Linked DNA regions of Canis lupus familiaris. The protein of the gene in region 1 interacts with the protein of each later gene in a pairwise test. Links are inferred from orthologs where the notes say so. Each region holds a gene or a part of one and is shown in the gene's direction. Other genes may lie near its edges. The genes, in order: ID1, MYOD1 and MYF5.

Region 1 (3,725 bases):
CTCCCATGTTGAGGCAGAAGCCAGGTTTACTGGCCCCCTCCCCCAGACTTCTGTGGGAAAAGGAAACCTGCTGATGCCCAGTGAATTAATTGCTGGGGGATGGGGAGGAGGAGGGACCATAACCATAATACCAACTCTCTCCGTGGTGGGCAAAGTATTTTAGCCATGCCAAAGCTCCACGTCCTTGGGTGGCTATTCTAGACATTGGTGTCTCCAGCTTCTGGCCAATCTGGGGCTCCAAAAGCTCCGACTCCCTACCCTGGAAGGAAGGGATTGCGTTACAATAAAGTGCCCCTGTTAAAATAATGCAGCCATTACAAGAGCTATGCCTCTAGGGAGACTTTTCGGGCCTCAGTTTCCTCCTTTGCATAAAGAAACCAAAGAACTCCTCTCTAGAGTTGTGACTAGGATTACAGACGATGATAACGGCAATGGCTTTACACACAATGAAATACACGTGCCTTGCACGAACTAAGAATTCAATAAGCCACTTTGTCATTAATATCAAAATGCCAGGCAAATGCTATATTAGGAATCAGAGACGGGGGAATCCCTGGGTGGCTCAGCGGTTTAGGGCCTGCAGAGGGCCCAGGGTGTGATCCTGTAGACCCGGGATCGAGTCCCGCGTCGGGCTCCCTGCGTGGAGCCTGCTTCTCCCTCTGCCTGTGTCTCTGACTCTCTCATGAATAAATAAATAAAATCTTAAAAAAAAAAAAAAAAAAAAAAAGGACTCAGAGCCGGAGACAACTAACTTCACCCAGCAGCAAAGTTGGGATGAGAACTCTCCCCCCGCAGCCAGGGTGCCGAGGAAGCGGTGAAGAAACGTCCCAGGGGCCTGAGGTGTGAGCCCGGCGGGGCGATTCCCAGGTGTGGGGCAGGGAAGGCGACCCTTGGCCAGAGACCGCGCCCGCCAGGAGCGCATTCCCGGCTTCCCGCCCGGGGTCCGCAGGTGACTGGCCGAGCGGGGCGCAGTGGGGGAGCGCTCGAGCCGGGTTTGCCGTCTCCATGGCGACCGCCCGCGCGGCGCCAGCCTGACAGCCCGTCCCGGTTTTATGAATGGGTGACGTCACGGGCCTGGCGTCTAACGGTCTGAGCCGCTTGTTCAGACGCTGACACAGACCCGCCCGGGAGGTGGGGGGCGGGGGGGGGGTGAGCCTGGAGCTCGGCAGCTGCCGCGCCGTGGGAGGGAGACCCTGATCGGAGGTCTTGGGGGTGGGGGGGAAGGGGACAGGAAACAGCCAAAAAAGGGAGAAAAATTCTAAAATCACTAGTTGATGCAGATTTAGGGAATCTTTGCAGGAGATGCAGCCCCCCCTGGGGGCCTTCTATCTAGTTCATGTCCCAGAGGATCCGCCCCCGATCCTAGAGGAAGACTTTCCCGAATTAATTGCTCCCACCCAGAGGGGCCTGGGTAAAGCCTCCCAGGTCCCAGGAACATTAACTAGCAACCTTCTCTGGGAATTGGGTAAGGGAGACCAGCTTTGGGGAGCAGAGGGTAAAGGAAGGCCGGCTTTAAGTTTTGTGCCAGACCCAAGAGGTCGGGCTCCCAGAAGCCCAGGCTCTAGTCGTGGGCTCTCTAGATAAACCAGAGCCAGCCGCTTCCGCACTGAAGCCTCAATTTCTCCCATCTGTAAAATGGAGCTGGAGAGGTGAGAAAATGAACCTGAGAAAAGTGATTCCAGAAGTCTTCGTTGTCGGCAATGCGTCCTTTGCGAGAAGCCCAAGGTAGCCCTCGCCTGCCACTAGCCACCCCGCCCCGTGCCCTTCCACTCCCGGTTCCTGAGACTCGGGCTCCCTTTCCGAGGCTGCGAGGGTGCACTCGTGGAGCAGGAGGCGGGCCCCAGAAGCACCGAAGGCCACGCCTCAAGACCGCCCATTGGCTGCTTTTGAACCTCTGAGCCCGCCTCTGGCGGCGGGGCAGAGGGGAGGGGGGGGAGCCGCGGCGTCTCTATAAAAGCTGCTGCGGGGGTGCCGCGGGCGCACTCTACAACCGCCTCTCCCCCGCCCCGAGGTCCAGGCTCCCGCCGGGTGACCGCCTCCTTGCGCTTCGGCTCCCCGCTCTTCTCCGACGCCAGCATCATGAAGGTCGCCAGTGGCAGTGCCGCGGCCGCCGCGGGCCCCAGCTGCGCGCTGAAGGCCGGCAAGACGGCGGGCGGCGCGGGCGAGGTGGTGCGCTGTCTGTCCGAGCAGAGCGTGGCCATCTCGCGCTGCGCGGGGGGCGCCGGGGCGCGCCTGCCCGCCCTGCTCGACGAGCAGCAGGTGAACGTGCTGCTCTACGACATGAACGGCTGCTACTCGCGCCTCAAGGAGCTGGTGCCCACCCTGCCCCAGAACCGCAAGGTGAGCCGGGTGGAGATCCTCCAGCACGTCATCGACTACATCTGGGACCTGGAGTTGGAGCTGAACTCGGAATCCCAAGTCGGGACCCCGGGAGGCCGGGGGCTCCCCGCCCGGGCTCCGCTCAGCACCCTCAACGGCGAGATCAGCGCCCTGGCGGCCGAGGTGAGAGGAGCATTTTCTTTCAACAGTTGGGGACACAGGCCCCGAGGGAGGCGGAGGGGGGTGAGCCTTGGCTCTACAGCCGCCCCATCCTTCCGGGCACCTGGCTGTGCAGGGATGCCCAAGGAGATCGGAAGAAGCGCGCTCTCAAAAGCGTCTCCTGGGGAAGGTGTTGCAGCCTCGTCCCCTCCGACCCGCCCGTCTCACCTCTCTCGTTTCACAGGCGGCGTGTGTTCCGGCGGACGATCGCATCTTGTGTCGCTGAAGCGCCTCTCTCCAGGACTGGCGGACCCCAGCCCTCCAGGGGGCGAGAAGAACCCGTGCTCTGATCCTGCCGAGCGCCTCGCTGGAGCTGGGGAGGACACACGATTGAGCTCGGCGACCGGTGGGGCGCTTGCTGGATCCAGCCCAGGGCCCGGGACGGAGGGCTGACCCTCCACCTACCAACCACCAGAGACTTGGGGGACCCCTCCCCAGTGTGTTTCTATTTTTTGAAAAGCAGACATTTTAAAAAATGGTCACGTTTGGTGCTTCTCAGATTTCTGAGGAAATTAATTGCTTTGTATTGTATATTACAATGATCACCGAGAATATTGTTTTACAATAGTTCTGTGGGGTGGTTTTCTTTTTTTGTTATTAAACAAACACTTTAGACTACGGTAAAGTTGCAGTGATTTTTTGGACTGAGGGGAGGGCCTTGGGATGCGGGTGACCCCTGACTCTCTTCACAGCTGGTGCTGGGGTTTGGGGGAGGGGTACTTAGAAGGCCACATCTGGACTGTCGGTTTTACCGACCTGAACTGAGTGTTTTCCGGTGTCTTTAAAGTCTATTCTTTCCCCATCACTGGTCATTTCCCTGCTCCCTGGTGTCATAAAATTAAATCCTCTAGACCTCTAGGGTTTCTCCAAGCGGTCTTGGGCCATCTGGGTCACCTGGGGGAGGTTGTTAAAAATGCAGATCAACCTGCCAAGGCCCACTGTCACTTTAAGTATTCAACAGGCCATTTAAGTTGGAGAACCAGGTCACTGAGCCGCCTCCATCTTTGCCAACATAGGGGAAGGGGAGACCAAGACCTAGAGGAGAAAACTTGCTGAGAGCCTGTCTGAGGCAGGACTTCTGTCGCCCCATTCCCCAGTGGGAGGTGCCTCCCCAGTTGGGCTGCCTAGCCCTGGATTGTAGCAGGCTGCCCTGGGGCTCCCAGCTTGTCCAAGTGGGTGAGCAAGTT
Region 2 (3,834 bases), on another chromosome or scaffold:
AATACAGCCTTGCACCTCCGACTGAGGACCTCCACATCTTTTGGTGTCTTTAGATTCTCACCACCACCACAATCGCTCCAAGAAATCGCTCTTATTATCTCCAAATTTACAAACTGGGGAAACGGGAGGCTTGGAAGGCGATGTGACTTCCGCAAAAATCACACAGGAAAACTGTGGGATCCAGATTCGGACTTAGGTCATTGGTCTGCAAGCTCTACTCTCAAAGATTCCACTCTGATGTGGGGTTCCCAGGCTGAGTCCCGACGCTCCAGGCCTTTGCGCAGTGAACTTCGCTGGTGCAGCGCTGCACGCAACAAGGAGGCAAAACCGGAGCAGACAGTTTTCTTCCCAGTTGAAGACACATCTCCACCCAGCCCCGCACTGGACACTCCGCTGCGGAAACACACAGGTCGAGCTGGGCAGGAGTGCACTTCCCTGCCTCCAGCCTGGGGCAGGACCTGGGCTTGGCGAGATTGGCGCCAAGGGTCAGCAGCCATCCTCCTCTTCTGCACCATGCGGCTCTGTTCCTAGGCGGGCGGGCGGGGAAGGTGGGCTGGGCCCTCCGCCCTCTGAGCGACTCCCCAGGTGGGAACTGGCCGAGGACCGGCCGCCGCATCCAGTTTATCTCAGGTTCGCCCCCCCCTTTTTTTTATTTATGATAGTCACACACACACACAGAGAGAGAGGCAGAGACACAGGCAGAGGGAGAAGCAGGCTCCATGCACCGGGAGCCCGACGTGGGATTCGATCCCGGGTCTACAGGATCCCGCCCTGGGCCAAAGGCAGGCGCCAAACCGCTGCGCCACCCAGGGATTCCGGTTCGCCCCCAGGACTCTATGTCTCGCCGCAGGTTTCTCTGCTTCTGCCTCTAGCTTTCTGCTCGGTCTCTATCTCTTGGCCGTATCTCTCACTGTCTCACTATCTCCGCTCTGAGTGTGTCTCTGCCCCACTGCCACGGGTCTCTCTCCAAATCCCTCGCGATCTGTTCTACTCATCCCCTGCACCTGGGTCCCCCACAAATCCTAGGACAGAGGGAAGCCCAAAGTCAGCTTGGAGCTGGGCGCGCGCGGCCAACATTTTCCGAGGGCGCCGGACGCGGACGGCGCGGGGAGGTTTGGAGCGAGCGCGCCCGCGAGCCGAGTGCAGCCGCGTGGGGCTGCCAGCCTCTGCCTCGCTCCCAGCCCGGGGAGGGGCGGGAGCGCGCGCGCGGGGGTCGAGGGCTAGGGGGCTGGCCAGTCTCCTGCCCCAGCGGCCACCCTGGGGATCCCAAGCTCCTCCCCACCCCGTTTCTATTGGCCTCGGGCGCCCCCGCCCCCAGCCGCCCGCTCCCGCTCTGGGGCCCTTTAGCTACTACGGGATAAATAGCCCCGGGCGCCTGGCGTGAGGCTAGGGGTGGGGAAGCCCCGGGGCGCTGCAGCCGCTTTCCTCACCGGCGCATCAGGCCCGACAGGACCCGGCGGAGGGGGGGAAAGTCGGGTGTCCATTCAGACGACCCCGTACTTTACCATCGCACGGCCAGGGCTGCGGAGAGGCAGAAAGTTTGGGGCAACCCCTGGCGAAGCCGGGACTGCGCCACCCCCTGCCGGGATATGGAGCTGCTGTCGCCGCCGCTCCGCGACGTAGACTTGAGCGGCCCCGACGGCTCCCTCTGCAACTTCGCCTCGGCGGATGATTTCTACGATGACCCGTGTTTCGACTCCCCCGACCTGCGTTTCTTCGAGGACCTGGACCCGCGCCTCGTGCACGTGGGCGCGCTCCTGAAGCCCGAGGAGCACTCGCACTTCCCTGCGGCCGTGCACCCTGCGCCAGGCGCGCGCGAGGACGAGCATGTGCGCGCTCCCAGCGGGCACCACCAGGCCGGCCGCTGTCTGCTGTGGGCCTGCAAAGCGTGCAAGCGCAAGACCACCAACGCCGACCGCCGCAAGGCCGCCACCATGCGCGAGCGGCGCCGCCTGAGCAAAGTCAACGAGGCTTTCGAGACGCTCAAGCGCTGCACGTCCAGCAACCCGAACCAGCGGCTGCCCAAGGTGGAGATCCTGCGCAACGCGATTCGCTACATCGAAGGTCTGCAGGCGCTGCTGCGCGACCAGGACGCCGCGCCCCCTGGTGCCGCCGCTGCCTTCTACGCGCCTGGCCCGCTGCCCCCAGGCCGTGGCGGCGAACACTACAGCGGCGACTCCGACGCGTCCAGCCCGCGCTCCAACTGCTCCGACGGCATGGTAAGGCCAGGACCCCGAGCTAGAGAAGTGAGGGCAGCTCTTGCTGTATCTGGGACGCGTTGCACAAGGCGGGGAGTTGGCCCTCCAGAGGGAGGTTTGGGCCGGGAACCTTCTGGGGAGTGGACCCTGGTGTCCTGAGCAGCCGTCACCGGGGTGGCCTGATGCTCTGGGGGCGCACGGGACAAATGCGATCCACCCGGCCGGGGGCGCTGTTAGAGCTCTGCTGCAGCGACCTGGAGTTGTGCTTTTCTGCACTCATCCCTATTTACAAAATAGACTTATGCTCCTAGGCGACTGTCCACGCGCTGGTTGGCCCGGGAGATTGCAGACAATCTCCGTCCGCCCCTGTCCCCCAGCCAGGGCCCAGATCTCGTGGCGGAGACATGGGGAGTTGGGGCAGGTGGTTACAGAGAGTGATGCTCTGGCCCCCCGCGGTCCCCGAGCCTGACTCGGTCGCCCTTGCCCTTGCCGTTTGCAGATGGACTACAGCGGCCCCCCGAGCGGTGCCCGGCGGCGGAACTGCTACGATGGCACCTACTACAGCGAGGCGCCCAGCGGTGCGTATTTGCGCCTCCTTCCCACGTTACCCGCTTTGAGCTGCCACGGCTTCCCTCTATCTGGACCTCCCCCTCCCCCTAATCCCGGAGACGGTACAGGGAATGAAATACTAAGCGTGCAGCCCACTCCCTTTTCGCTCCGTGCTCTCCCTGGGTCCTCAGGTTCCCGTCTGCCCCCAAGCACTGAGCCCGGAGGCGGGAGGCCTGTCCGCGGCTCAGCCGCCACTAACCCACCCCTCCCCGCGCAGAACCCAGGCCCGGGAAGAGTGCTGCGGTGTCGAGCCTCGACTGCCTGTCCAGCATCGTGGAGCGCATCTCCACCGAGAGCCCCACGGCGCCCGCGCTCCTGCTGGCCGAGGCGCCGCCGGAGTCGTCTCCCGGACCGCAGGAGGCCGCCGCCCAGAGCGACGCGGAGCGCGGCGCCCCCACCCCTTCCCCGGACGCCGCCCCGCAGTGCCCAGCGGGCGCAAACCCCAACCCCATCTACCAGGTGCTCTGAGGGGGTGGGCGGCCGCATGGGAGGCCTCCGCTGCCCACGCGCCCGAGGGACGGCGCCCCCCGCGCCCCAAAGATTGAGCTTAAACGCCAGCCCCACTCCCAACCGCGCTTTAAAAGCGACCCCTCCCGAGTTGGGAGCGGAGGGAGAACTGTTTGTGTGTTTCCACTCCCGCGCTCCACAGTAAGGACACAGTCCTTTTTTTCCACGCAACACCCTTCCCTGAGACTCGCTGCGATGGCCTTTAGGGGTCCCTCCTTGGGCCAGAGCTGACTCTTGAGGGGCCAGACCCTTCCCCTTCTTGCGCGGGGTGGGACCCGCGCAGACCTAAGCCCCGCCTCCGGGCGCCGGGGGAGCCTAAGGGGGCGTGGCCACTTCTCCCCGAGCCCCGCTACTTTGTAGCCTAAGGGGGCGTGGCCTCTTCTCCCCGAGCCCCGCTACTTTGTAGCCTAAGGGGGCGTGGCCTCTCGCTCCCCAGCACCGGCGACTTTGCTCTGCCCCGGCGCTGCGCGAGGTGCGCTCGTGTAACACTAACCACTCCACCCTCTCCCCCAGTTCAGGA
Region 3 (4,273 bases), on another chromosome or scaffold:
GCAGGGCGGAGCGGAAGGGGGAGAAAGGCAGCCGGGCCCTGGAGGGAGGGAGGCGGCGCCCCTGAAGCTCGGTCCTGGGCCGCCCCGGGCCCCGCAGAGGCCCGACCCCAGGAGGAGGCGCCCGGGAGCTGGTGCAGAAGGGGGCTGGGGGGGGGGGCGGCCGGGCCTCGGAAGGACTCCCCCCGCCCCATCCGGGAGCCCCGGGCCCTAAGGTGACCTCATCGCAACACCACCGATGTTTAAGAACCTAGCTTCACTGCACGATTCAGAGGGTCGCCTCCAAGCTTTCAGCAACCGTTATTCGATCCACTGATGGGGGGGGGGGGGGGGCAAAAAACAAAAAACAAAGAAAAAACAAATCCCTGAGCTAACTAAAGTTCGTGTAGAGCACAGAAAGCACCTAAAAATAAGGTGCGTGCTCACGTCCAGGATCGGGAAGGCAGGGAGGCGCGTTGGGGCGTAGCTTTTAGGTCCGAGCGGCTCCGAAGAGTCGGACGGCTTCGTCCCTTTGTCTGCACGCGTCTTTAAGTGACCCCGGGGTCCAGGGGCTCCAGGGAGTGCACGCAAGGGCGGGGGTGGGGGCGCCCCGCCGAGGCCCCGCCGCACGAAAACCATTAGTCCGAGGGGCCGTAAACAGCAAATCGGCTCCGGGCCGCGGCGGGATATGCTAATAGTGCGGGGCCGCGGGGGCGGCCTCCCGCCCTCCCTCCCCGGAGTATATAAGGAGCCCCAAGCCCCGCTCACCCGGCCCGGGCCCCAGGCGCTCGCCCCGCGGAGCTGCGGAGCCCCGACCCAGCCGCCCGCGCAGGCGGCGTCTCTCCGTCTCTCCCGTCCCTCTTGTCTCTCCCCTTTCTCCCCATCTCTCCCATCTCTCCCCATCTCTCCCCATCTCTTCCATCTCTCCCCATCTCTCCCATCTCTCCCCATCTCTTCCATCTCTCCCCATCTCTTCCATCTCTCCCCATCTCTTTCATCTCTCCCATCTCTCTCCATCTCTCCCCATCTCTCCCATCTCTCCCTTTTCTCTCCATCTCTCCCCATCTCTTTCATCTCTCCCATATCTCCCGTCTCTCCCATCTCTCCCCATCATTCCCTTTTCTATCTTTCCCCATCTCTTTCATCTCTCCCATCTCTTCCATCTCTCCCATCTCTCCTGTCTCTCCCCATCTCTCCCATCTCTCCCCATCTCTCCCTTTTCTATCTCTCCCCATCTCTCCCATCTCCCCCATCTCTCCCCATCTCTCCCCATCTCTCCCATCTCTCCCCATCTCTCCCATATCTCCCGTCTCTCCCATCTCTCCCCATCATTCCCTTTTCTATCTTTCCCCATCTCTTTCATCTCTCCCATCTCTCCCATCTCTCCCCATCTCTCCCTTTTCTATCTCTCCCCATCTCTCCCATCTCCCCCCATCTCTCCCATATCTCCCCATCTCTCCCATATCTCCCCATCTCTCCCATCTCTCCCCATCTCTCCCATCTCTCCCATCTCTCTCCCATCTCTCTCCATCTCTCCCGCCTCTCCCGCCTCTCCGGTCTCCCCTCCCTCTCGCCGCCGCTCCCGGGCGCACGCACCCCTGGCTTCAGCATGGACGTGATGGACGGCTGCCCCTTCTCGCCCTCCGAGTACTTCTACGACGGCGCCTGCATCCCGTCCCCCGAGGGCGACTTCGGAGACGAGCTGGAGGCCAGGGGGGCCGCCTTCGGGGCGCGCAGAGCGGCGCTGCCGGGCCCCGACGAGGACGAGCACGTGCGAGCCCCCACGGGCCACCACCAGGCGGGCCACTGCCTCCTGTGGGCCTGCAAGGCGTGCAAGAGGAAGTCCACGACCACGGACCGGCGGAAGGCGGCCACCATGCGCGAGAGGAGACGCCTGAAGAAGGTCAACCAGGCCTTCGAGACGCTCAAGAGGTGCACCACGACCAACCCCAACCAGCGGCTGCCCAAGGTGGAGATCCTCCGGAACGCCATCCGCTACATCGAGAGCCTGCAGGAGCTGCTGCGCGAGCAGGTGCAGACCTACTTGGGCCTGGCGGCGCCCAGCTGCTCCGAGCCCACCAGCCCCACGTCCAGCTGCTCCGACGGCCTGGTAGGAGCCCCCGCACCCCCCTTAGCCCCAGTCAGTAGTTACCGGTGGAGACGGGGGTGCCCGAGGGCAGGGGGGCTTGCCGCACTGGAAGGGCGCCAGGCAACAGCTGTCGAGCGGGATGTCCGCTTGCCCTCCGCCCAGGTTCTCGGAAGGTCGGAGGGAGGGTGGGCATGCGAGCGAGGTGGCCAGTGACCGGTGACACGTTTGTGCCCCCGGCCCGGTCCCTGCCCTGCTGAGGCCCTGCTGGAGAGAGATGGGGCTGCATTCTTCTCAGAGGGCCTTTGCTCCGTCCCTGCCAGGTTTTAATGGGTTTTTGCCCTGGGAAAGTATTCTCTCCCTGAATTACTGTGGCTTCCTTCTGCCCCAATCCATTTTGCATGGTTAACCCCACGCACATTGCTGCTGAATTCCACCCCCGCCCGCTTCCCCTTGCCGGGCTCTCTCCTCCTGGCGGCCTCAGAGTCTGACCTCGCAGCCCTTAGGGCCTGGGGAGGCCACGAAGGGGACGGAGGGCCCCCCCGCCCCCTGCGGACCTAGTCAAGCACAGGTCCGAGCATCTTTTGCCAAGCCCTGCAAACACACTTGCTTTGTGTCTTGTGTCGCAGCCCGAATGTAACAGCCCTGTCTGGTCCAGAAAGAGCAGCAGTTTTGACAGCATCTACTGTCCTGATGGGCCAAATGGTAAGAATTGGTGGGACCTCAGAGGAGTTTAAGAATCAGGTCGACTTCGCAGTCGGGCCTGTCAAAGCAGTCTGGTTTCCCAGGCTGTACTGGAGAAGGGAATACAAAGGATGCTTCCTATGGGGAGGTTTTGGCACAATCACGCACATCTTTTGGTCAAGTCCCCCCTCACAGACGCACACATGTGTGCTTTTGCTGGCAATTTTACTAGGGGGCTTCTCCGCCCCCTGCGTTCACTCCCATGAGTGGCTGGATATTTGTTACAAATGTCCACGTCCGGCTTTCTGTGACCACCTGACCCCTGGGGGTCAAAGTTGCTGACCTATACAGTTTACGGGGCCAGAAAGCCAGTCTCTCTATCTGAGATTTTTTTTTTTTAATGGTTTTCTCCTTGTGTTCTTAGTATATGCCACAGATAAAAGCTCCTTATCCAGCTTGGATTGTTTATCCAGCATAGTGGATCGAATCACCAACTCCGAGCAACCTGGATTGCCTCTCCAGGACCCGGCCTCCCTCTCCCCAGTTGCCAGCACGGATTCCCAGCCTGCAACTCCGGGGGCCTCTGGTTCCAGGCTCATCTATCATGTGCTATGAACTGAAAGTCTAGTCTAGATCAGTTCCATGAGGAGGGCCTATTACGCAGGAGGAAGGAAGCCCCGAAAGTCCAAGAGCAAGACAAGTTGTATATAAAGATTTCCTTTGCGTTGTAAATGTGTAAATACCATCTTGCCACTTTATACGAAAGTGTATTTAACTAAAAAGTCACCATTGCAATTAATACTTTATTCCTTTTCTCCTCCTCCTCCACCTCCTCCTTTAGCTCCTTCTTTGCTTTAGATATATAGCTCCAATAATATTCTTTCCGATAGGGGGCAATTCATTGAAGATAGCTTGTTGCAATGCTTAACTTATATATTTTTTATAAATATTGCTAATCAAAATATTATGTCTGATGTTAGATCTTTATTTTTTTTTCTTTAAAACATTAGGACAGCTGGAAATCAGTTACAGGAAACCTTAAATATATTTAACTTTTGTTTTCCTATTAACCTTTTGGTGATATTGTATTAAGTAAGAACGTAACAAAAAAAAAAAAAAGTAAGAACGTAACAACACTGCCTAACGGTATCTATTTTGGTCTTTTCTGATTCATGTTTTTTTAAAAAGAACACCCCTAATGGGATTAGCAATCACTGACACAAAACCTTAAGGTGGTCCTGAAAATAACAAAATAGCTGGCTTTGTGTATACATTTGAACGTTTACCATCTCTCAGTCGCAGCTGAGGTCCTGTTGATGTCCCAAATGAAGAGAACATTTCTATTTTAATCAGCTTTCACGGGAGCCTGCTAAATACAATTTTTCCCTTATCTTAGCACCGTGCCATCTAGTGTCAAATTGTGAGGGCGTGGAGGAAAAGTAGAAGTTATTCAGGACAAGACAACATGTTTCAACGAAAATAAAGTACAATATTACATCATTTTAATACGGTACATTAGGAATCTTG

What was found.
Region 2: the proteins of ID1 (region 1) and MYOD1 interact in a two-hybrid assay, tested with the Homo sapiens proteins (5 studies listed by BioGRID). The link is inferred for Canis lupus familiaris from reciprocal best matches to the Homo sapiens genes ID1 and MYOD1.
Region 3: the proteins of ID1 (region 1) and MYF5 interact in binary tests that used the Homo sapiens proteins (3 or more experiments, as listed by UniProt). The link is inferred for Canis lupus familiaris from reciprocal best matches to the Homo sapiens genes ID1 and MYF5.

The regions. Positions count from the first base shown.
Region 1 is NC_049245.1:21,592,989-21,596,713, forward strand, and holds ID1 (DNA-binding protein inhibitor ID-1), read left to right. Parts: upstream 1-1,229; 5' UTR 1,230-2,079; coding exon 2,080-2,502; intron 2,503-2,722; coding exon 2,723-2,764; 3' UTR 2,765-3,163; downstream 3,164-3,725. UniProt on the Homo sapiens protein: Transcriptional regulator (lacking a basic DNA binding domain) which negatively regulates the basic helix-loop-helix (bHLH) transcription factors by forming heterodimers and inhibiting their DNA binding and transcriptional activity.
Region 2 is NC_049242.1:40,920,075-40,923,908, forward strand, and holds MYOD1 (myoblast determination protein 1), read left to right. Parts: upstream 1-1,370; 5' UTR 1,371-1,589; coding exon 1,590-2,219; intron 2,220-2,697; coding exon 2,698-2,776; intron 2,777-3,024; coding exon 3,025-3,275; downstream 3,276-3,834. UniProt on the Homo sapiens protein: Acts as a transcriptional activator that promotes transcription of muscle-specific target genes and plays a role in muscle differentiation. Together with MYF5 and MYOG, co-occupies muscle-specific gene promoter core region during myogenesis.
Region 3 is NC_049236.1:23,285,852-23,290,124, forward strand, and holds the start of MYF5 (myogenic factor 5), read left to right. Parts: upstream 1-1,455; 5' UTR 1,456-1,585; coding exon 1,586-2,086; intron 2,087-2,691; coding exon 2,692-2,767; intron 2,768-3,170; coding exon 3,171-3,361; 3' UTR 3,362-4,273.